Linked DNA regions of Daphnia pulex. The protein of the gene in region 2 purifies or fractionates together with the protein of the main gene of each other region. This does not show direct contact. Links are inferred from orthologs where the notes say so. Each region holds a gene or a part of one and is shown on either strand. Other genes may lie near its edges.

Evidence for each region.
Region 1: the proteins of ataxin-7-like protein 3 (region 2) and transcriptional adapter 3-B-like purify together in Homo sapiens (affinity purification with mass spectrometry; 6 studies listed by BioGRID and IntAct, counting the BioPlex papers as one, with this or other methods). This does not show direct contact. The link is inferred for Daphnia pulex from reciprocal best matches to the Homo sapiens genes ATXN7L3 and TADA3.

Annotation. Positions count from the first base shown.
Region 1 is NC_060019.1:11,482,872-11,495,460, reverse strand, and holds transcriptional adapter 3-B-like, read left to right. Parts: upstream 1-5,274; 5' UTR 5,275-5,426; coding exon 5,427-5,607; intron 5,608-5,682; coding exon 5,683-5,819; intron 5,820-5,892; coding exon 5,893-6,024; intron 6,025-6,087; coding exon 6,088-6,231; intron 6,232-6,308; coding exon 6,309-6,523; intron 6,524-6,588; coding exon 6,589-6,713; intron 6,714-6,779; coding exon 6,780-6,910; intron 6,911-6,967; coding exon 6,968-7,126; intron 7,127-7,196; coding exon 7,197-7,340; 3' UTR 7,341-7,430; downstream 7,431-12,589. Other genes in the region: rho GTPase-activating protein 190-like, read right to left, coding at 1-98, 155-508, 576-827, 887-976, 1,069-1,216, 1,989-2,159; protein OPI10 homolog, read right to left, coding at 7,520-7,962, 8,055-8,184, 8,274-8,303; uncharacterized protein LOC124189823, read left to right, coding at 10,975-11,217, 11,311-11,417. UniProt on the Homo sapiens protein: Functions as a component of the PCAF complex. The PCAF complex is capable of efficiently acetylating histones in a nucleosomal context. The PCAF complex could be considered as the human version of the yeast SAGA complex.
Region 2 is NC_060017.1:2,596,114-2,608,927, forward strand, and holds the start of ataxin-7-like protein 3, read right to left. Parts: upstream 5,720-12,814; 5' UTR 5,704-5,719; intron 5,660-5,703; coding exon of another isoform or gene 5,478-5,659; intron 5,412-5,477; coding exon of another isoform or gene 5,355-5,411; intron 5,288-5,354; coding exon of another isoform or gene 5,022-5,287; intron 4,947-5,021; coding exon of another isoform or gene 4,840-4,946; intron 4,773-4,839; coding exon of another isoform or gene 4,700-4,772; intron 4,643-4,699; coding exon of another isoform or gene 4,535-4,642; exon of another isoform or gene 4,504-4,534; intron 4,327-4,503; exon of another isoform or gene 4,189-4,326; intron 1,640-4,188; 5' UTR 1,623-1,639; coding exon 1,328-1,622; intron 834-1,327; coding exon 568-833; intron 486-567; coding exon 218-485; intron 1-217. Other genes in the region: arginase, hepatic-like, read left to right, coding at 4,535-4,642, 4,700-4,772, 4,840-4,946, 5,022-5,287, 5,355-5,411, 5,478-5,659, 5,720-5,943; uncharacterized protein LOC124200214, read left to right, coding at 6,892-6,918, 7,052-7,273, 7,347-7,574, 7,629-7,802, 7,864-8,020, 8,082-8,192, 8,264-8,357, 8,425-8,434; cGMP-inhibited 3',5'-cyclic phosphodiesterase A-like, read right to left, coding at 10,098-10,121, 10,203-10,388, 10,453-10,872, 10,947-11,312, 11,933-12,123. UniProt on the Homo sapiens protein: Component of the transcription regulatory histone acetylation (HAT) complex SAGA, a multiprotein complex that activates transcription by remodeling chromatin and mediating histone acetylation and deubiquitination.

The DNA.
Region 1 (12,589 bases), on a different chromosome or scaffold from region 2:
GTGCATCTTCTCTTTGATGAGTTCCCAGTCACCCTCCTCCAAGCTGGGCAGATCTGGGAAGAATTCAAGAAGGATTTCCGGCAACGTGTCCATGTAACCTACATCCGACTCGTTAGTTCAACATCTCAAAGAGTCATGTTAGACAAGCAAGAACCTTTGATTTTGCGGGCCAAATGTTCATCTTTGAGCTTCTTGACATGACGTCGGAAAAGGCGTTGGGCGTCGTCCTGACCAAAGAGGTTACAATAATGAATGTAGTCCGGGTTGGGGGCCAATTTCTTGGAGGTAGCCGACCAAAGGGCGCGGAAGTCCGTCACTTGCGCCCGAATCAAGCGCTGAAAGGCTTCCGTAGCCACATCTAGAACGTCCTTGCGGGATCTTGCCGCTTCGGCAAATGGCACGATTCGCATGCGGTTTTTGGCCTTATCCACCATCTGAGCCAAAACAAGAAACGCCAGGTCGACATTGACGTTCTCGTGCGCTGATGTTTCCACTAAAGCAATACTCCCTGTAATTTGAAATTTGCATTGATGATGTTAGAAAATTATAGCTAAGAGGATCTCAATTAACTGGACCTTTGAATTCTTTTCTCGAAACCAGTTTCTCGGCTTCGCGGATAAATCCGTCAAAGGCCTCGTCATTTTTGGTGGTTGCCAGGACGATGGGTTTTTTACTCTTGACCAGATTGGCGAGAATGTTTGCCGTGTACTCCAACTGCCGTTCGATCGGCCGACTTGGCACCATGGAAACGTCAAAGACGCAAATGAAGCCGTCAACATTGAATTTGCCGTCCGGCATCACTTTTTGTTCATACTCTTTTTCAATTCCTATAGCCAAGGGAAGTTTATTTTACAGTCAGCAATTAAATATTATTACTCCAAATTACCCAGTTGATTCTTGCAAATGTACATAAATTTTTCGGCAGATGTTAATTTGGTTGCGGCACATCGCTTGACATAAGGTTCCATTTTACCACCTAAATTTGTTAAGGAGAGCAAAAAAAAAAAAAGATGTCGTCGGGTTAGTCAAATCAATTAGCAAGTTTGACGTCACTTGAAAGCACCCCACCTTTAAATGGTTGAAAAGAGGCGTCGTCAATAAACTCGGTCTGTTCGACTAGCTGAAAATGATATTCGACGCCATCGTCGGCCTGTTTCGTTGTCTCACCCCAATAGAGGAAGTGATCATTGTTGATCACCCGACCGCTAAAGTCCGTCTGTCAAACAGATAAGCAGAACAAACAAATATGAGATTGCAGTCGTCATAACGATTGTGAGGTAGACTCCTTTGTGTCGGCTACTGTCAATTAAACAGTAAATAGTGATTGAACTATTTAAATTGTTATTGTACAGTATGTGTTTTGTTTCTGTTCAACTTTCTGTTCCGATCCCTATACAATTATACATGTGTGCAATTAGGGAACCAACAGTTATCTAAGACCTTCAGCTGTGTGATGAGACATACAAAGTAGGGCCGCAATTGCCTTTGGCTTGCAACCGGAAGTTGCCGCTAATGCCGTCACTTGCGGTCGGGAAGGGGAAAAAAAAGAGTAAAGAATCCTAGAAAACAAAAAAATGGAGAAAAAGTGTTGCATTGCGTACAGCAACGTGTGCCTGAAGGTCAGAAAATCGTTGAAGTACTACTCCCAGTCACCGCCCAGCCCCTCACAACAAAATGAACGACAAAAGAGAAGAGAGAGAAAGAGACATATAAGGAAAAATGGTGTGAACATCAATGGGAATGCCATTAGTTCCAGTTCCAGACCCAACCCGCGATAACGGAAACATGCCATCAATAACGATTTCTTTTCTTTTCACTTGGCTTTCTTATTCCTTAAGGGACTTAACGTTGGAAAATTGAATGTTCCAAACAACGTCGTAAAATCTATGGATTCTAATAAAAAAAAGGCTTTGCCGTCCCAGTCCATTTGGTATTGTTGACACACTGCCATTGGCAACCGACCAGGATGTTCTCCTTACTACACTAACCTGACTGAGGACGGAAATGTGCTCGACGTGGTAATCATCGGCCAACGATTTGATGAAGCGATTGCAGAGACACGATTTGCCTAAGCCAGACTGGCCGCGTTCCTTCTCTGTGCCGGCCAGGCCGACCACGGAGACATTAAGCGTCCGCAACTGTTCCGTTTTTCTAGCCATTTCTAAAAAATTTTTCTTTCTTCTTCTTCTTCTTCTTCGTACGTCCTCAGATTGGCGGTGTTGAAAAATTGGCTGCCCGGCTGAGGGTTTCTCACTTAATCACACTCTTCCGGAGATGGTGCAATCATCTTGATCGCTTTCCACCTTGCTGAGACCATCATATCCTCCAATTTGTCGAGAATGGCAGCATCACCCTGTAATCCAAAGTAAATGACATCACATTAAATGAGTGAAAATAAGCAATCACAAAATGAAAACGAAAAAAAGTAGTCCACAAACTGGATGGAGAAACACGTCACCCGCCCTTTTGGATAAGATCTGAGTTACCGCCACCAGGGTTCGTTCCAAACAAGGACGAGCTGCGTGTGTCCCCCAAAATTCAACGGCTTATAACCACAAGAGAGTCTCGAATCAATAGTCTGCGATCCCGAACGGTGTGCATGTGTATGTGGAAAAGAGGGGAGAGAGTTTGAGCTGAGTCAAAGAGACAACGTAAAAAAGAAAAAAAGACGAGAAATGCAAGAGGAGCAAATCAAACGATATCAGTTTTGTCGGCTTGTCATTCCCGGTAAGGAGATGCAAGGGGGGAAATCAAATTGGAAGAACTAACAAGAAAACTGCCCGTCGTTGAAACGGTGGCACGGCACGGAAGGAGTCATCCGATCGGAAATGGATATAAAAACGGATAGACTGAGTCTTTGTCTCTCGGCATCATCCAAGATTGGCTTGGCAGCTGGCCATTGGAAAGAGGCGGATCTTGACGACTAGCACACTGGTGTGCAATCGATCTCATCAGCGTTGCGATTATCGAAGCTTCTTTACAGCCCACTCGGTCGGGAAGAAAAAGTACAGGATCGCATCGATAATCAATTCTTTAGGGAACTAGGAATATCGTCGTATGGCTTTGTTATCGTGTGCCAGTCAGAGTCAGAATCGCCTCCAAGTTCGTTGTCAATGAAATGGCTTTGTAGCGGATGAATGCCAATTCTGGCAACTACTTCAGTCCTCTTTCGACATCATTATCACTCCAGTGTCGATGATACTTTCCACTGTTAACGTGTTGTTTGTTGATGTTGTTCGCTTTTTTAGAGGGGTCGCGACCTACTAGGTGGATCAGATTAAGGCAATACACGCGAGGTACGCATCGAGTCCCGGTGCCCCAAGTGTCGCCGGATCGTAACCCAAACGACGGCCTGTGATGCAAGGACTTGCCGGTAACAACAAAGAGAGTCCACGTGCCCAAAAAGGGCTAGAGGGGCCTGGTATGAAATGATCTTGGGTTTCCGTGTTGACTTGGATTTCAGAGCTCTCTTTTAGCTTCATGATGCGGGCTCAGTCAACTAACGATGATGCATGTAAAAGGAAGCAGTTGAAATAGGGGGGTGAAGATATGCCTACCAGAGAGAAAGAGAAGGGAGCGGTCGTCCTGGAGACCAGCTCTGCTGGCGTGACCTCCCGCCTGCCTAACTGAATGACACAGCCAAGGGATTCCAGTAGATTTTGAATGCGATCGATTCCTTTCCCCCACTGCACCCCAAGCGCCAATCCGAGAACCTCGGACTGTAAGAACGACTGGAGATGCTCTCGTTTGTGTGGCGTCTACGAGAGGCCGAAGCACAACAATAATAACAACCATCAACACAGAGAGGGGAGAAAAACACGGGACAATGTCTGTTTTCATAGGAGGAACAGTTTCTTTAGAGCCCTATCGTGTGACTCCTCCTCGAATCTGGAAGAGATGGATTCATCGGGTGGAAGAGAAAGGCGACGGAGATCAGGGATGGGAATGGATCAAGAAAGTATGTGTGTTTGGACGCTGCGCACAAGTCCAAGTGCCGTCGTCGGATTCAACCCCCACTCCTCCTTCCCTTCCTCTTTTTCCTCCCTCCTGACGTGATCAATACCTGAGCTACAGATTCCCCCATGCCCTATTTCAACCCCGCCAACGCATGTACAGCTGTGCAACCCCCCACCCATTTGCAATCGTCGCAAAAAGAAACAATTCACTTCCAAATGAACTCACTATCAAATTTTACCACCTGATATCTGCCTCTCATACGAATGCTACTGTTTGGATAAATTAGGGTCAGACTGCTGCATGTCACACAAGATTACTCAAGGTTTACTAGGCAGGATGGTATAAAAAAACCTGTGCTAATTATGAAACGAAGAGAGGAATTTTGAGAACATGCTTTGATTATGAAGGTGTCATGTTTCACCATCCAGAACTTTTATGATTGTGCAACACAGCGGTCTCCTTACCTTGAAATGAACGGATAGCTGCAGTACACACAAAGCAGTAGGAGCGAACTGGAAAATTGTGTCTAAAATGTCACTGAAAAATGGCTGTTTCAAGGAAACTCAGGATTCTTCAATAATTATTGAAAACGAAGGATGTCCCCACACGCACTCGACCCCCCTTTGGGTTCTTCAAAGCAAGTGACACAGATGGTGTAGCCCACACATATCACAATATGAAGAAAAACAAGGTTTCCACAGCTATTTGTAGAAAAAATAAATTGCACTTCACGAAGTTCGGTCTGGAATTCCTCTCTGATAGGCCGCAGATTCAAACTTTAATTTCAAACAGACAATAAACTGTCATGAAACGTAGATAATGTTAGTGTCACAAAAACTCGTTGCCTTTTCACTCGGTAGCCATATTGGAATAAACTGAAAACACCAGAGAAAAGAAGACTGGAGACCCGCAGACGAGGGAATTTTACAGCCCTGAAACTAGCGCTGTTTCAGACATAACGGCCACATAATAATATAGTGAAACACCAACTAAATTAAATAAATACATTGGCCTATGGAATTTGTAGTTAAATGAAATCGATAAAATATCATACAAATTTATATTAAGCATTCTGCATTCATTAAAGAAATACATGAAAATTTGAAAAATTTGAAAATCAAGTCTAAAACTTTGAGTTGCAATTTCCCTGATTTTATTATTTCGAAAACTGCGTTCAAATATTTTTAACAAGTAATTTAAAAAAATATATTAGACTTTGATTGTCTTTTCTCTTTCGACTTAAACGGTTTAAGTTATCCAAAGTTTTCATTAAACCATTCAAGGAGGCGCTGCTATCGTTTGACGAATACCCAGTCTCATTTTCTCTCTTACGTTGTAAATCGAAATATCGAATCGAAAGTTTGAAAGTTAGGTATCGATTCTAGTCCAAGCTTTTTTGACAAGTAAACAACGTAAATCGTACATTCGTACGTGAATTGTCTTGTCAAATTTAAAATTTGGGCCGAAAAATGGTTCCGGGTAAAGGTAATATCTCCAAAGGAAAAGGAGCTACAAATGTCAAAGGTTCAACGTCAGCCACTAAAGTCAAAAGGGAAAGAGTTTCAGAACCTGAGGACTCAGATGAAGAAGTTACTCTAGCTGATGTCCGAGCTGTCGACTATGGAAAGGTTTTACCTCGTTTCACATCCAGTAAGAACTAATTTTTTTTGTTTTTCTGTTGGTTTTCTAATTAACAAAGATATAAATATAATCAATTGTTTATAGTTACGGCTAGATCAGAAGAAGGGGGTGTTATGATGGATGATTTGGACACCTTACAAATGGAACTAGAAACACTACTCAATTGTGTTGTTTTGCGTTCCTTAAATTTACAGAGAGAAATTGCAGGAATGACTGAAAAGGTATTCATCAAAGTTTTTTTTTCATCTTGTGTCTATTTTCTGTTTGCCAACAACACTATGTGTTTTTTTTTAGCCTCCATCTCCTGGAAAACGATCAAAACAAGAAGAGCGTTCACCTAAAAAGTTCAAAGATCAACCAGGAAAGCTTAGAGATGCACACACACCTCCACTTTTAAAGCAGATGAAAATTAAATCTGCTCTAGCTGTACCTAGTTTCATGAAAAGTAGTTTTATTTACAGTCAAGTAATGATCTCTTTGATTTTATAGAAGCCTATCCCACCAGAAGGAGTTGTTGAGGAAATGCCTCCTTTAGAATTAATGAAGACATCAACTGCCAAAAATGATACACCAAACAAATTTTGGGCTTCTGTAGAACCATACTGTGCTCTTTTTACAGATGATGATTTAAAGGTAAAATGATTTGTATAAGATTAACATAACTTGGAATTAAATTTTTTTTCTTGTGGTAATTGATGTTTTAACTAAAGCTAGTAGAAGAACTAATCTCAACTCATAATGAGGATGAAGAATACCTCAAAATTCCTCCTCTCGGTCGCCACTATACACTTCGGTGGGCAGAAGATGATTTACTTCAGGAGCAAAGAGAGGGCTCTCGTTTCGGCGAGAAAAAGAAGATTACCTCTGGATCTTCTGTAGGAACGGAAGAGGCTCAAAGATTAATGGACACAGCAGCTAAAAACAAGTAAAAAATTAATATTTTTTTTTCTAATAGCCGCATATTGCTTAACGATAGATTTAATAACTCAGTGCTGAAACAAATACTACATCTGCGACGGGGATGTGCGGACCCATGACCCAGCGTCTCATTTCAGCTCTTTTAGAAGAAAATATTGTAACTTCTGTGCAGGACACAATGGAATCAGAAGGGCAAGGTATATTGTTCATTGTTTTCCTGTTTAAAACTAATGCCAACTAGCGGTTCGAAATTACTGTAACAGACGAAAACGCGAAATCTACTGGCACGAAGGCAGCAATGAATGGACCTCAAGCTGCTGCACTTGAACGTCGTATTCGTCAAGAGTTAGAAGAACAAGGCATTTTAACTTCCGAAGAAGCCAACGTTAATTCGGTAATTTATTCATTCAAAACACATTTCAGAGGTAGTATTATTAACCCCCTGATTAAGGCCGATGATGAAATATTGACGGAGTTACGTCGATGCCAAGGAGAATTGAGGGCCATATCACTGCACAACTTGAAACAACTGAAACGACTGTACCGCCTCAGTCAAGAAGAAATGAAACGTCAGGAAATACGGAAAAAATTGATTGCAGCGGACGCTGAGGTATTCATTTTTCAAGTGTCATCTCTGCTTATCGAGCTCGTCTACATTATTCCCAACTTCTTTTGAATAGGTATTAGACGTATATCGTAAAATGGCTGCCGCTAAACAAAAAAAACGCCCGTTAAGCAAAAAAGAAAAAGATCAGATGTGGAAAATACTTCGTGATCGTGAAGCGATTGTCAAACAGCTGGACACGGGAACGACTAGTATGTAAATATTTTTTCAAACAATACAAGACGTGTGTGATGAAGATGAACTAAGATGGTTAATTGAACTTTGCATAACAATATAAACTTTTAACAAGCCTTGTTTATTACTTAAATCAATTAGCATGTATTCAACAATGAAAAGTTGAGGTTACTTGAAGTTGATAAGAATTTAATAAGAATTCTTTCAACTTCTCCAAAACTGAGGATTCAATTCTAGTTTTCTAATAAAGTTAGTGTACCAGTTTCTTAAAACAGACATTGGGATGAAACTTTCTGATGGATTTGGTGTCATTTGTGATTGAGTAACAGCAAAACTTGCTGCATAATTGAAAAGATTTTGAAGAGTACGTTCAGCAAACTCCTGGAATGTTGTGGTGCTACTAGGCTCTGTAATGGCACTAGGAGATTGATTGGAAATGAGGCTAAGAGGCTCAATTGAAATCCCTATTTGAGCATGATGATGTATTTCCCCCTGGTGCACCCCAAACATACTAGGGCTATAACTTCCCGGATTCTTCTTCAAGCCAGTGATTTTGTAAATGCTTGACGGTTTGTTATTGGTGAGGTTACCTAGTAGTTGCCACACTGGTGGGGCTGATAGATCTGGCTCGGGCCACCTGAAGTACACTATTAAAAAAATTATTTTGTGGTATTTTAAAATCTATCTTCCGGAGTATGCAAAAATTTTTCCTTTAACATAGAATTGTACTCTAACCAACCTGATCCACCAAATCCCTCTGGGAATGGTGATGCGCCAGTCAAAAATACTACCAAATGGTTGATATTATCGGCATCAGGAATAGTAATAACAAATTGTGAGTCTGTAATTTGTTGAAAGTTGGTCTGGACCTGTAAAAATGTATTGACAATAGCAAATCAAGACACCTACTGTAGTTGTGGAAACGTATTTACACGCGAACACAAACACTGAAACTTACCAAACGCCCCGATACAATAAGACCAAACATTTCTCAAGAAAACCACAAATTCTGATCAGTCGAAGTAACAATTGAAAATTGAATGCAATTCTGTATGTTTCAGAAACGCGAATACAACGATTTATCCTTCATTCCAAATTCTAGATGTTTTCGAAAATTCGTCGTCTCACAGACATGTCTAGTGACATCTATGTACAAGAGATGCAAATAGGTGTTTGAAATAAAAAAAACTTGCCGCGCTAAAATCGTTTTAATGTGTTTAATGTGCGTGTTACATAAATAAATCAGTAAGTTTGTGTTAGCTATGAATAAATACTATATAAAATAAGTCACTGCTAATCTGAAAATTTATAAGTACGACGTTAGTGACGCGAATAGAAACGCAAATTGAAGCATTTAGTTCCTGATTTCATCGGAATGAAAAATAAGATCCGCATAACTCATTCGTCTATTCGATGGTTGATCATTAATTACGAATTTTTTTATTTTCAACAATTTAATTTTGAATTTTTTACTGTTACTTACGATCCCATTAATACATAATTAGCTCCAAATATGTCTTTCCGATATATATATTGACGTGATCTCTCGGTTAATATTCGAAATACTCATTGTAGACAACATTCTAAAATGCCCAGATAAAGTAAATAAAAATTCCCAACTCAATTGCTAGACCACGAGCTAAAATTCACGCAGCTAGCATGCATGACTAGAATAAATATCTATCAAGATTTCTCAGTGGGGGTGTTGCGTGTAAGCAAACAATCACTCCGCTACGTACACAAGTACCGGTAGGCTACGTACGATAGTATCGTACCAGCAGCTGTCAAGCCACAAATTATTCCGTTTCCTTACGTACACACATAATAAATGTTGATTTCACGTGAAATCCATTGGTTTTCACCAAACAAAAATCCTACGAATGATTTCTAGTCTGAGTATTTGTTTTTGGAATTTGCACAATCAAGTTAGGCAACTGCGCACAACATGTCGACACGGAAGACTTAATTTTTAATTTTCCATATGCACAACTAAATCCTCCCAATAGTGTAGTTTAATTCATATCAGTATAAAAACAAATGCAGCTGCTAGATCAACGTGAAATTTCGACAATTTAGTTGCTCATCTAAGTTGGTACAATTATGCTTAATATTTCGCTTGATATTCTTCCATTAAAACAAGAATTTCTAAAAATATTTTCTTTAGATATCAACACCAATAGACCAAGACTAAGAGAAATCACGAAGAATTTTTTTTTTTGCTTTTGCTTTTCCAACATTTTATAGGTTCGTGTCCTGTGTGAACCCATGCAACCGTGTAATAGGTCTGCTGTACTGTCTATATATATGTCTACAGTCTACACTCATATGTTTATTCAGTTTTACAGCGTTCACGGCGAAGGACGGACGTTTTTTCTATTCGCCTCAGTTCTAGTTAAGCAAACCAGTTTTGGAACAAATGCTTTTTGTTCGCCAGTATCAGCATCGCATTTATGAATCATTCAAACCAATAAGTTTGCATAGCGTTTGACAATACTTCACTACATCTGGAAACTAAAATACGTCATCAATCCTCGATGGACTTCCCTGCAGCATAATTAGAAAGAAAAAAAAAGTAGGAGGTAGGCCTTTGATTTTATCTATGTGCTTAACATACCTTCAGTTTCAGCATTTTGACTTTTTCTTTACTTGAACAATTCATATCTTATATAGTAATCTTTCTTCGCTTCGCTGGCTCCGCTGGAACTGGGTAGGGGCTACCTTACCAATCCATCACTTTTATCTCCATCACCCTCGACCAAATTTTTCAACTTTCTTTAGTCTGCGTTGGAATCACTTCAAAAATAGTAAGCGGTAAAACACCATGAATCATGAACTAAATATTGGCCTATGTATGCCTGTGCACGCGCTTCTTTCATTACTCTTTTATTTTTTGCTATAAACAAATAATTTTCCTTAGCTGATCGTGTGTCTGTTTAGCTATGCGCCCATGAAGTTTTCACATTTTTATTGATTTGCAGTAATACTAAATATAATTTGTAAATTACCCAAAATATTATGTACATTTAAACAAGTAGGGCGCACTGATATAAAATGGCAAAAGAAGTAGCAACACGGCAAACAGCTGCTGATAATTCTTATAAAAAGCTTTTGACTAGTTTCATGATTTTTGTCCCATTCTCGACTCCCCTCATGTAAAGGAGAACTGTACGACATTGTTACCTATGTTCTACATCTATGTAAAAAGCAAAGATTGGATGGAGTACAACCTGGTTTTTTTCCCTTCTCCCTTAACTGTCACCACTCCCTTTACCTCGACGATGGTTCATAAATCCAAGCTAGGTAGAAAGGTATAGGGCTGTGACATAATAAGTGACTCGACCAGTGGTTGCTGGCCAATGAAGGGGGGGGGGGGGCTCGTGGATTTCTCTCAACAGATGTTTCAACAATATGACTTTGGGTTCACTAGACAATAAATTTAAGGATAGCGTAACGTGTGGACAAAAGTGGCTGATACAACGGTTACTATCGGTGTAGCCTATCATTCTACCACAGAGAAAAAAAAATAACAATAGAAAAACCAACACAGCAGTCTCGCTTCAATATCATAACTATGGATTAATGTGTGGATAATTTTGCGCAAACATCTAGTCATAGTAATATGATTTAGTTTTTTGTCGCAAACCATTTTCAGGTTTAAAATGGTTGAAGAAATAAGACAAGTCTCTTTCAACATCGACGATAATGATTGTGGCAACAATGAGCTGTCCACCTTCCCAACTACCCGAAGCTCGCTTGACATTGATTACAAATCCGAAAGTGTTCCGGTTGCAGCAGGGCCCCACAGTTCAATTTCAAGAATAAACTCTAACTCCAATTTTATGCTGTCAAACAACTCCGAAGTTTCGGGACTGGAACTTGAAGAATGTCCAGCGATTTCGAAGGTAAATATCTGACAAGAACACCAATTAAACCTCATAATTATAATTCGTGTCGAATATTTGAAATATTTATCTATCGATATTTTTAAAATGTAGTCCTCATCCCCAGTCTGCGTGACGAAAGGACCGATATGGAACCGGACGGCCTGTGTGTGGTCCAGCTTTATTTTGTTCATACTCCTAGTCGGTGCTATTTCATTGGGGTAAGGAATACCAAAAAAAGATTTCTTTTTTAAATCCAGCATATCCGTTACAAAGCAGTTATTACATCTAACCTTAAGTAATTCTAAAATAAGGGAAATAAAAAAAAAGTTTTACCGATTTACTATGCTGTGATTCAAGGAAGCACATTTAAACGCGATTATACTCCCGTGAAAGATGATATAAAAAATTAAATTAAGTAAAAATGCTGTCAATTATGTAAAATAATATAATATATTTTATCGATGAAAGCTAAAAACACACACACACGCACATCAAGAATCTGCATCAGCTGTCATAGATAGATGACATAAATTTCAAATAACCGCAAACTGCCTAAATTCAGTGTTTATTTTTCAAAAGGAATAAGCCGTTTAATGGCACAGGATAGTAAATCTGGTCTTAATCCGCTTGGGCTTTAGTTCCGCTTCCTATTGCGCAGTAATGGTGCGGCATAGTTGAGACTGTTATACAGAGACGCGAGCGTTCCACTAAAATTTTCGTTGACAATTGAGAACCTGCATTCAAGAGTCAGGACCTCTTGGTTCAAACATATAAACATTCTGTCGCTCTTTGCCATAAATATTGTGAGAAATCCGAGATGAATATCCTTATTGACAATTTCCTCACGTTTTTTTTTGGTTTTTAATATCTGGCTCTGTAAATAAATGAAAGGGGCGAACAAGGAAAGCGTTGATAAAGCGCTCATCGGGATTCACATAACTGGAAGTTCAGCAGCTAGTACAGCAATAACATATGCATCGTTATCTTACCTATCTTGCCATGAATCACGTTGACTTGTGGGAGCCTTTTACAAATTGAAAGCGCAGCGGAGATCATTTCTTCCAGCCCCCAGACGACATTTTTGGGGATGTAGCTGTTATATAGAAGTGAGCGAGGCTGCGGGTGGGCGTATACATATAAGGCCTTTTCTCTCTCGAATGAGTACGTTTGTCACGTATATATGCTCGTAAATGATTCTTCTAACTTATACCTTTGGAATAAGAATAACCCTAAACCTGAATCAACAATATATAGCCTTTGAAAATAATTTATTGCTGCACTGACCGATGCAATACGTGCAGTTAATTCTAAGTTACCACGCGTTAAAGTCCGCAAAGAATTTTATAGTTTGAAAGAATTGACATTCAGTTCTATATGAAAACAAATAAAT
Region 2 (12,814 bases):
TCCAGGTAACGCCTAGTCATCGTTGATAACGAAGTGAAGATCACGAGTGGATGGCAAGGCCAGACAAATTCATTAATTCCGCTGATGGCAATTGAAAAGTGAAAGTTTCAACGTGTAAAACATTTTCACGCCATTCTCGTTGACAAGGATCGTTAAGTCCAGTCTTAAAGACTCAATGAAACAAGCCGTTAATAATTCGTCGGTATGGTTTAATTACCCGGAACTGCAGACGCCGATGACGCAATGGACGGATGACCACTGGAGCTGTTGCTGTTGCTATGGTTGTTGTCGCCATTGCTGCCATTCTTCCATTTCTTGCGTCTCGGCGAGTTTTTGTCTTTTTTGTGCAAGTGATGGCGGCGTTTATTCTTGTTGCCACCACCTCCTCCACCTTCGCCGCTCATGATTCGATGGTCCTGCCTTTCACTGGCTCCACTCGCCGTCCAGTCGTCGTCGTCACAGTCGTCATCGCTTACCAAATCAGCCTAATGAATGAATCATCACGCGCATACCGTATGAGGTGCATAGTTGAATCATAATCAGCCAAGTTGAACGAGGGAAACGGACCTGTCTACTAGCAGAGGTGGCAATACGCCTCGACGCCAATCGTGAACTGTTCCGGCCCATGCCCATGCACTTTTCCAAGTGTGGAGCAAAACGGGATGCGGCCATGTTGCGCTGGCAGTTAGGACAGACGCATTCAGCCGGTTTTTTGCTATTGACCGCTGCCGATGATAACATCTCTGACGCTGCATCGAAATCCATTGCTTCACCACCGCCGCCGGTAGATGAACGGGTCGTTTCGTCTCCGTCGAAATCACATTGTGTATCACCTTAAAAAAAAAATAAAAGGAAAGTTCAAGCTTTTATTGTTACGATGCCGATCATTAGGATACGCCCAGAATTCCTAAGGAAAACACAAAAAAAAAACTTAACGATCCAAGTTGATTGAATTCGTTTCTTTTACGACCTGTGTTTTATAGTCCACACGTAATGGTCTAAAAGTAATAAAAACCGGTTGAAATGAAGATTCGACTCGGTTCTTGACTAAGAATAAACCGAATAGCGGAACAGGTTAAAGAAGTCCAACTATATTCAAAACTCTTTTGAAGGCAACGAATCAAGTGAAATAAATAATAAAAAAATTACAGGAAATGTCTATCGCAACACAAGTGAATAAAGGCATCTATCAATCTACGCTTGAGTTACACCGGCAATGAAAAATGATGACGCTTGATGATGACTCGTTTCTCAAAAATTAATTATTTCCGTTTCATTCTCAAAAAAAAAAAAAGAAAAAGAAAAAAAAAATTAACAAATTCATTACCGGTCACACCGTCCTCCAGGAGAGCGGTGAGTCCCAATTTAGCACCGCGGTGGACTTCAAACACGATGCCTAAAATAACGTCATCGACTATGTCCTCATAGAACGATTGAGACGCTTCAAGGATAGCTGACTCGCTCAACGGATGAAGTAACCGACCGCCACCTGTTAAGTCTTCGTCTCCGTCAAGCTCTTGCACGCTTTCAAGTGGATCGTCCAGCACATTCAGCGGCACCACTGTAATGGAAAGCGTCGGAGGCTGTTGTTGTTGCTGTGATCCTGATGCTGGATCCACCATTTCGATTATTTCTTGCCCTTATCACATAAAAACAAAAAGAAAACAGAACGAACGATCGATCATTAGAATATCCAGGTGCACTCGATTTGTAACGTCATTGCATCATTAGTTGTAGTTGTAGAAAAAAAAAAGTTTTCCACGGATAGAATTCGTTTTCCCCCGACTAGACAAGAAAATGGCTGACGTCATTTATCCATGAATTCATATGAAAATGTGTCTCGCAATCGCCGTCGTTTGTTGGCCAGTCACGATCGCTAGAGTCAATGTTGATTCTTGTCTTTTTGGGTACTTTTTGTCGATGTTGACTTCATTTTATTTTGTCGCTCTCGACTTTAGCGGATTCGTTCAGCTTAATTTAAAGAACCGTCGCCATAGGATAGCCGGATAGCGTTGTCCTAAGTAATAGCAACAGATGGAGGACACATGAAAAGGAAGACAAACTTGGGTGGAAAGAGAAATTCGTCATGGTGCTGAAGAAATACTGCAGACGGATACAGGTCCAAGATAGGCTCTGCCCTTCGCTCCCCCCCCCCTGTCGGGTGTTTCTCTTTTCCGTATCAGATGAATGATATCATCCAAACACGAGGGTGGAGTACACACACACACACCTTACCAAGAAACTGACGCTTACTTTCTGTGGTTGACCTTATAAGGGAAAAGTAACAATTGAAAGAAAATCTATTTTGGTCGGTCAGGGTAACACGAGAAAACGGGGACAGACGGGACATTAGCATAACAAAACCAAAAGAGAGAACATGATTAAGTTAAATAGCTATTACATTGTTCTTATCTATTTAATCAAAAACGCAAATTGCTACTACTTTTCTTTGTTCAAGCTCTCAGCTGGAAATTGATTTTATAAACCATTAAAACTCCAAGTAAATATGTTGCACCCAAAATAAATTTTCTTTTGGAAGTGTTTAAAAGGTGAATGTGAATACCTGGCCTAAGAGACAAAATGCATAGTAATCTCGAATACCGTTTCTGATGGCATGATCGTATCACCATTACGGGAGACGTGATGACGGATTGCCAAACGAAAACTTTTTAACCTCTGAAAACCTTAGGAAGAAGAGACTTTTGAAAACTAAAACATGAAAAACCAAGAGAAGTTCCACCAAGGTCTAACTAGCAACAAGATAGTGTCGCCACCATCAATTTTGATTGCCGGTTTCACTGTCTGTCTAACCTTCAAAGCCAAAAAAGAGACAAGGAAAGGCTATAACAGAAAATAATTAGGCGAGGAACCAAGGATAGTTCTTTATTTTTTTTCGAAATTCAAACGGAGAAAAACGTTGTGGTTCCGAAAGGTATAAAATTTCTACAGCCACAAGTCGAAGTGGTAAACCAATAGTCATGTGCGATGTGCGCTACTTTTTCCACCTCGGAGAACATTGAATTCAAAACTAAAACGACACATTTCCCAACACAACTACATAGGTAGGCAGTAGGCTCTATACCACCACTCTTCAATCATCCTCATCGGCGTTTAACATTTTATTTGCATCTCCCTCGGGTAGTAGAAAACTTCTTTGCCGAAGGCAATAAATGACTTGTAATTGATCAAAAAACCAAAACCTTCGTTGAAAACCGGGAAGAAATTGTAGATGTCATTCTGTACTGCGGGTAATTCTCTATTCTGGTCATGGGAAAGAAGAGAGAAAAATCGGCTCACAGCTACGACATCTACCAGCACAATTAATCTGGGCAATTTTATAGGAATTCTTAATTATCTAAGGCAGCAAACAAAAGAAATGAAAAGAACCGACGAATATTTCTAGAGGCTTTTGACCGCGGGGTGATGGTGATTGTTTCCTAAAGGTATATGAACAAGGACCTCAACCAATTTTCTTAATCACCTCCGAGCGGCCGCAATCTATGACCCCACCAAAACCGCATCACCTACAACCTTTCTTTTTCTCATTCGTTCTCACTCTTCTTTCTCGACTTCTTCCAATTGCTGAACCACAGACACCAGTAATTCTGCCCAAGTTCGCTTAGGAAATGGAGGTCTTTCCAACTTCCATGACCTCCGCTTCCTCCGCAATTTCTAAAACTCATCCTTCCCGGTGAAACCTTGAGAAATACAGTTCAGTCTAATAACACATTCAAATGCTTTGGGCTTCGATACCGTTCAAAGTTTTCTTTGTTCATCTTGGTAGCTTCCGAAATAACGAAACAAAAAAAAAACTGGATAGATGATTCAACAGCCGCAGGTAAAATGAACGTTATAATAAGTAAATCGATCAAAGTAGGTTGAAAAGCTGTAATAAACTCAGCATATTTAACCTCCAGCATTTTATTCTTTTCCCAAATTTCTCATAACGCAGACGCCCTTCTGCCATCTAACGAACATAAAAAGAATTGCTACAGGACCCCCCCCCCCAATAAAAAAAGAAACATCTCGATCGATCCAAAAGATTCGTTCATGTACGATTCTAGTAGTGCGATTCTGCCTGACATACAACAAAAAAGCCATTTAATTGGTTCAATTAAATTTAAAAAAAACAACTCTTTATCTGCAACGAATGGATGACAAAATTGGTAAAACAACGAGAAAACTTACTTGAAAATGTTTGACTATTAAATTTTCCAGGATTGAAGAAAAATGGCGATTATACAGAAACTAAACACCCTATCACGTTGAGATCAAATTTACTTTTCAGTTATATATTTTAAGAATAACAATCCAGGAGATTCTTGCGGTTGTTTTTCCGACGATCAACCGACTCGGTCAACACCAACACACAGATCGAGAACAAAAAAAGATCGAGCAGACGACATTTTATGACGCTGTTGCTAGGCAACTTGCTGGGCACAATTAAAAAACAACTCGGGCTAAGTCTCAAATATCAAGGCCACTGTTGCGCAAATGTCTGATCAAACGTTGATTCATTATTAACTGACAAAAAATGTTGAAGAGGGGACCATTCGTTCACGTCCAGCAATGGTTTTCCATTTTCTCCTCTCGAAACTACTCGAAAATTGGAGTTATTGGAGCACCATTCGACAAAGGACAAGTAACTGCCATATTGTATCGATATTGATATCAACTTTGACAATTTTGTTTATTTTAGCGTAAAGAAGGAGCTGCCCTAGGACCAAGTTCTTTGCGCCAGTCTGGACTAATTAAGCATTTGGAGTCAATTGGTGACTTGAAATTTCCTTGCTGTGTTTCCTGATTGCACAGACTAGTATTATAGCCATACTTCAACAGGTTGTGATGTTCATGATTTTGGTGATATTGACTATCAACCCACTCGAGAGGAAGGGACTGTAAAGAATGTTCGAAACATGAAAGATGTAATAGCCTTCAATGAGAAAGTAAGATCCTTGAATAGATAATTATGTGTTTCAAATTATCTGTCAAATCCCTTTTCTAAATAATTATTTTCACAGCTTTCACAAAAAGTCAGCCAGATAATAAAAGATGGTCGTATGTGCCTAACTTTGGGAGGAGACCATTCAATTGGTGTAGGTACTGTTCATGGTCACCTGAAAGCTCAACCAGAGACATCACTTCTCTGGGTCGACGCTCACGCTGATATAAACACTCCGGTCACAAGCAATAGTGGAAATGCACACGGTATGCCATTGTCGTTTCATATAAAGGAGCTAACGGAATACCAACCAGAGATACCCGGTTTCGAATGGCATAGCCCTATGTAAATAATACTTGATTTACTTAAATTAGATTCAAGTAGATTCAATATTAAACCCTGTCTTAAATAGGATTTCAGCCAGAAACATTGCTTTTATTGGTCTTCGTGATGTAGAACCTTATGAGAGGTATGAGAAAATATCTAAACTTGACTTTCACATTATTTACTCTTGAAAACCTTCTTTTTTCTTTAGGTTAATAATTGAGAAATTGGGAATGTGTGCTCTATCGATGGAAGAAGTTCACGGGATAGGTATCAAAGAAGCTGTCAAGTACGCACTAAGTCGAATTGATCCTCGCAATACTAGACACATACACGTTAGTTTCGATATTGACGCCCTCGATCCCCTTGAAGCACCATCAACTGGAACTCCAGGTAGTAGAACAAGAACAAAAAAAAACGGAAAGTTGGAAACTTACCCCTTTTTTCAAATAGTTCGAGGAGGATTGACGTTGAGAGAAGGAACCGAACTATTAAGAAGTGTGCATCGCACCGGTCGGCTTTCTGCAGTTGATATAGTAGAAGTAAATCCACTACTAGGCTCAGCAAGTGATCTGAAGATTACACTGGATGCAGCTCGTCACCTGGCAGCAGCAGCAGCTGGATATTATCCAGGAGGGTGGGCTCCAAAAGGTGTCACCGATATACCCCAGTCTTAAACCAAAAAAAAAAAATGTTAAGTGCATTTTAAACCACGATCTGTTACATTTTACTCGTTAACTACCTAAATTTTAATTCAGCCAAATTTCAAGGCCCAAGAAATCTTAAAGATCCTGTGCCATTCCCTTAAGATTTTCAAAAGTAGTCTATAACTATTGCTGCCTTGTTTTCAGATGTTTTAACTTTTCGTTGCTGTTGATTAATACAATTATCTCATGGTATTCACAATATATTTTTAAAGAGGAACACAACAAAAAAATTGAGCAATTTACATTTCTGTCATGCTTGTTCAATTTTTGATTCAATGGAAAAAAACTGTCTTAGTGGAATTTGTTTTAGAACTTAAATTACAGTGAGGGAATAGCAACTAACATTAATTTAAAAGCAAATTTAGGTACAAAATGAATTATACTTTCTGTTAAAAGTAGTGGACATGCACATCTGTGACCCAAGTTTACTGAGATTCTGATAAATCATCCGAAATTCGCACCAGGCCACTCAACAGCTCACACGTTGCAACAAACAAGTTCAAGCAATTTCAGACGAAAAAGAAAAGAAAGAAGTACAAATTTTAATGTGTTTCTTAGACAGTGTAGCATAATGTAATACGCATATAAAAAGTGCATTTATCATCTACCAATTTTGTAAAATTATCATATTTTTCTCTTGATTAACAGTTCACATGTTCTACATTTCTAATTTTCTACATTGTCGAGCAATTTTTTCCAAAAAGACAAATTTGTGCCAAAGATGGCGGTGACTTTCAATAAAGTTTCGCGCGGCAAATTTTGTTTCGGCTGCTGTTTTACCGACCTTGAAAGTGCCAGATGACAAGGTTCTTATTCTTTGACCTGACGTGGTGAATAGGTGTTCAAAGAAAGAGAGAACACGAGTTGAAGTTTTTGTGTTGCAGTTGCTAGAAGTGAATACGATAATTGGATACCCAAATGAAACGCGAACGTAACCATTGTAAAGTAAGTGGAAAAGTGACTGAAACAGTGAAATTATTTTTGTTTTATGTATTGAGTCTACGTTATTGTGAGACTGTTTTGTTTCGTGTGGAATTTTCAATCGTTTCAACAAGTCAATGTAATTTCTGGTACTTAGGATATGGAGCTCCATTTGACGATGGAATTGAGCCATCATTTGGAAAACAAAAGAATTTTAAACGGTCGCTACGAAAGTGTTTTGTCGAAATTGATGAAACAAACTGACACAAACATTTTCTGTCCTACTAGCGACACGAATCTCAACATCACCACTCGTATTCCCAAAATAACTATTTCAGGATCTCTGGCTGCTGTTGAATCCGCTCGTCTATCTATACGGGTTCAAGCAATATTTATTTTATATTTCCATTCATTCACCAGAGTTATTCATAACGTGTCGTTTCTATTGAAAGGAATGTGTGCCAGTCGTGTTTGTCGTCAGCTGTCGATCGGATAAAGTCCAATCTCTCGGAATAAACCTTCTTGTAGCCCACTTTTCTTCTACATTTGGAGTCAAACTAGTCTTTAATCTGGTTGAAGAAGATGCATGCTATCAGGTGAATATCCGAGGGCACCACTATCGATTTGAATTTCTGAAGGAAGCAGTGTCCCATTTTTGTCATCTCGTCCAAACTCCTTCGGTATTCGGTCATGTAATTTATTTATTTCACTATTAATCATAAAATTGTGTTTAGGAATCGGTCGAAATGGAAATAAATTCTTCGTGTTTACATATTAGTCTAGTCAGAAATTGCATTCCATTGATAGAGAAAAAATCAGGAGCACGAATCTGCTGCCCCGTCAACGGCAGTTTAGTCCTGGTTAGAGGATCACTGGAAGCCACGTATTTCGCCAGTGAAATGATAACCGTAAGAAGATTTTTTTTAAATTATATTCAACGCTCATTAGGTGAATCACTGGATTTTCTAGGGCGTGACACCATTGTATTTAAAGTTCCAACTCCCATCGTCTGAAATTACTGAAAGGGCTCGATCGATCGCCCGACAAATGGACATATCTATTTCCTCAATAAAAATAGACTCGGGTATTAATGAATTGGTTTTATCTACTTATGAATGGAATACTCGTAAGTTATAAGAAATAAATATTAAAAGTCATGTAAGGGATTAATTACGTACTTCTAATAGGTCACCTTTATGAGATTCGGCGCATAATTCTGGGCTTGCCTTCAACTGCTTCTATTTTTCCAAAACAACGCCCACTATGCGCGGATTTAGTTGATTTACCCAAAAGTTTCTGTACGTTGTTTTTCGATCTTGCTAAGCTGTTTAATTGAATGATGGCCTTTCTTAATCTTTCGTTTTTTTAGACAGGAGTGTGGAGTGTACGATTTTCGAACCACAATGCGAAGAACTAGCCTTAGAAGGCCATAGGAGTTCCACGGATGAAACGCTAAACTTGAGGTTATTGTTCCTTTTTTTATATGAAATGATCTAAGCAAGCTCTTACATTTTCTCTAAAATTTTACAGGCGAATTTAAGCCAGCTTTTGTCGGACCAACAGAGGTGACACCCAGTTTAACCGTTGTCACATTCTACCGTGCTTTAAACCCAGGATTCTTTCATTTTACATTTTCAAATTGTGTGCTGTAAAAACGTTAGGTCGGAGTATCTATACAGCTATAGTTTTAATGTTTAAATCAGATTACGTGTGCCATTCTGGAAACAGAAAATTGTGGCGCTCCATGTTGTTTCCTTCTCAGAAATTCCTCTCAGAGGTACTAACTACTCGGAAAATGTTGATAATAAAATGAAAGTAAATTGTGATTTCGTTTTCTTTGAAGACTTGTGTGTCAGCGTCCGCTTTTTTTTGGGGGGGGTTAATGAGCATGACGTAACTAATTACCAAGCTGCAACACGGGTAAACGGCAAATGTATTTGGTATATCATTCAAATTTATACATAAAATATGGTCAGTCGTCGGCCCTATCATTGTGCAGCTGCTCTTACATCTCGTCTCTGTAATGTGGATATGGAATTGTTTGTACGGTTTGCTAGGTCGACACTAACGGTTGTATAAATTCACACATATTGTAATGAAAAATTATTTAGAGAATAATAGCATGCAACATGTGGGACGAACGGAGAGGGATTCTGGAGACCACGGAACGGCGGCAAAATATATAGCACGAGGGGAAAAGGACAAACCCTCAAATATTTACAAGTACGTCACTTTTTCGTTATGATATACACAAGAATGAATTTTTTAAAATATCATTTAGAATATGTGTGAAAGAAACCGAAATGATGTCAAGATGACGCGAATTCGTCAACAGACAAATCATTCCTGATTGCATACAATCACCGGCACGGCCCAAATTCAAACTCGTCATAAATAACTCTTTTACTGATCAATCATCTTTGATGAACCATGTCGATTGCCCATCCCGTAAGCGTCAAAGTCATTCTGTACAAATTGTAAATGCTAGCTTTAAATTTGTAAAGAGAAGGCTTCTACAAAAATTACCTACAAAGCCCGTCAAATAATGCTATTGGAATGAAAGCAATCGGTTAAAAGGGTACTGAATGAACAATAGAGTTTACTTAGCAGAACCCAGAACTCCGAAAAAATGCACTCACTGAGGCCGTATAATGATGTGATATGATCTATTGGGCCAATCTATTGAAAGAGCGGATATAACTCTCGTCGCTGTAGTTTCGGCCATTTTGTCTTTCCGCCATTTGATCATGAAGTATTGACGGAAGTGTACAAAAGTAATTGACTTCCTTTTTCTCAGTCCGTGCACGACGACTGATGACAGCAGTACGAAGATAATGAAATCGTGTCAGGGAGGGAAAAAGAAACTTGCAGAATTGGCCAGTTACGAATTTTGGAACCTGCGCAAAAACTTGACGACCATTCCCACTCTCATCTGCAATGCTGCAGTGAGGCAAGCAAACGGCGTTAACCACCAAGCGATACGCTCCATTACATTACCGGTCGGCCACTCAATAAGCGTAAAAGGGTCATTGTCGGTGCGAGTTATCACAGGTAAGGGGAACCAAACAGAACATACACGCAGACAAGTAGGGATGGTGGTCTAGCGATGTGTCAAATAAAAGACACGCCATTGGGTCATGATGAATGAAACACACCGTATCAAGCCAAAGAGAAGGGATGGCACACACACAGGTCGACGGTATTTAAAGTTTCGAGTCTTCCTTCTCCTATAAAAAGGAAAATGATATAGAGGCTGTTATTGTAACATTTAAATACTGTAATTAACAAACTAAAAAACACAAACTTACAAAGCTAAAACTGCGTTCAAATGATTTTGGACTATTTTCCTCCGCGATGGGTTCCATTCGGTCTTCGCTGAGGCTTATTGGACTGGAATCTCCTGAACTATTATTGTCACCGAAATCTTCGCCGGATCGCCCTCCGCCGGAACACGATACACCCGTGGCATCAGCAGATGGCCGGAGTTCACTCTCCTACAAAGAGAGAGTTGGTTGATAAAATAAAAAAGACAAAACCAACATTGAAAAGAAAAATCACCTTTATCTGGGTCACCCAGTATTGATGATTCTCTTGCAGATGTTGCGTTTGTAAACAGAGAATCTTTCTTCCCGTTGGGGACCGTTTTCGATGAACGGGCGTGTCAGAATCACTACCGGAACCCGCCGATGGCCCGATATCTCTGTCCAGTTCCGTCAAACACGAACTGTCCCCAGAACTGGCTCTCCTATCATCATGGCACCCACTTTCGTCGCTGTAAAAAGAGCTCGGAAGGCTTTCGTCATCGTCGTCTTGGACACCATCGTCCCATTCTCCGGGCAAAAGGCCGGCTTCTCCGTAAGCGTTGCACAATGGAGCCACCAAATGGTTAATAAAAGACTCTTGTAATTTGGCCAACTGTGGATTGTTGCGGTCCATGTAAGGTGAAATGGGCATGCCCAGAGCGGCTTCTTCGTCTCCCTAAAAATATTCATTGACAGTCGCATGAATTATCGAGTTTAAACTTGGAACATTTTTAATGTTTGATAATTTACCTGCTCATAAAATTCTTCGGCGATGCGGTGGGTCCACTGGACGTGAATGTTGTGTATCTTGCACGGGCCGTTGATATCGGCTAATTTGATACACATTTGCATGGCTAAAAGCCGATCCGTCTCATTGGTCCAATCGATGCCAGGTGCGTCGGTGTCGTTCATCTTTGCGTTGAACTCGGCCAGGATTTCAAAGTGGCGTTTCAGGTCCGTGGCCAAAATAGCTTCGATAATTAGGTAGCGAAAACGTTTGAATTCGGCTCGTTCCAAGTGAACAAGGAAATTGAAACGAGGATCGGAAAGAAATAACGACCAAGCGGCTGCTGCGTGATGATTCTCCAGAACCGAACGGTCATTGTACAAGATGGCCTAGAGTTTTAAAAAAAGATTGAGATCATTATCCTTCTGTCTCCGAAAATAATGCGACGAGTTCATGAATGTCGTAATGTTTCTTGAACTCTTTTCTGTTGGAGCCAATCCAGTCAAACGGATCCTCATTGAACGCAGACGGGCAGACCATATGTCACTTTAATGAATTCCGAACTTTTACCTTGTCATGCATTATGACGACATGAATAAAACAAGAACAAAAAAAAAGAAGGATTCTAACAAAAGAACATTGTGTTAAGCTTCCCTCCTTTTCCGTTTCAGATCGATAATTCCTCCTCCCAGCTCTCCGAACAATGACAGAAATAATGAGCAACTTTCGTCTATATCTATCGAGTCAAGTGCTGTCGGAAATTGGGTTCCTCAACAGCAAGACTTGATGAAACAGAAAAACCTTTTGTCGATAAATAACATTTTTTGTCCATTGTCCCAAAACTAAAATTAGATCAATTTTCCTATAGTTGGACAATGTTGTCTTCCTGCAATGAGGCCTATTTAAAGACAAGATACGAATCTTCCACTGACTAAAACTTGGATCAAAGAAATGTCTTTGTCTATTATGACCTTATCTTTTCTTATTGATGAGGGAAGATTTGATTTACCTGAGGTGCAAGAGTAGTGACGAGGAAAGCATTGGTCCTGCCCGGATGATCATAGTCGTGCATGGTGGCCGCCGTGTAGAGAGCCATCAGCTCCAAGGCCGGGAAATTAGCGCCCATGATTCCGTAAGAGTCTTCGAAATTGAACGAGGCTCGCTGCACTAACGCTGGACTTGGGCTGGCTGAATCCACACCTGAATTTTTGTCCACAATAAAATAGCACGCACAATCAGAATTGAGACTTTTCCAGTAAAACGTGAGACGAATCACTTTATTCTCCGCTAAATACACCGGCGGACGAATTGTTTGCAGTCGACTGATCTAATAGGACCCCTCCGAGTCGTCAGGTTGAATGATTGCATCATCTCATCGGTTTCGAGATTTCGCCTCACACTTGGGTTACGGAGGTCTTCCATATCCTCGAGAGGTTTTACAGGCCTTTTTTCCTCATCGCTGCGCATTGTTGTTCTCTAACTCGAGGATTTGCGTACAATCCAACCCAATCTGAAAAAACCGGCAAGTTGCGATCCGATTTCTCTGTGTGTTGCCCTCCAACTGCGCTGCGCTGTAGCTTCATGTGTTGTGTTATACTCTGGAAGAATCGGGCAATCACCCACCGCTTTAATATCAATCCCCGCAACTCTTTAAAAAGTAAAGCACCGAGCTGGAGGCCGTAAAAGGCGTAATATTTATTGACTACGGCATTTCGAGAAGTGGGCACTATACGCTTCCTGAACAAGTTAATAAAAATGTTAGCCTCTTCTGCTTCGATAGCGTCGTTGGTATTATTCTTTTTCATTCCAACGGTTGGCAGATGCAATGAGTGGTCCATATCACTCACCCGTAAAGCGGGAGCCATTAGTGAAGGCGAATCAAAGCTGGCCA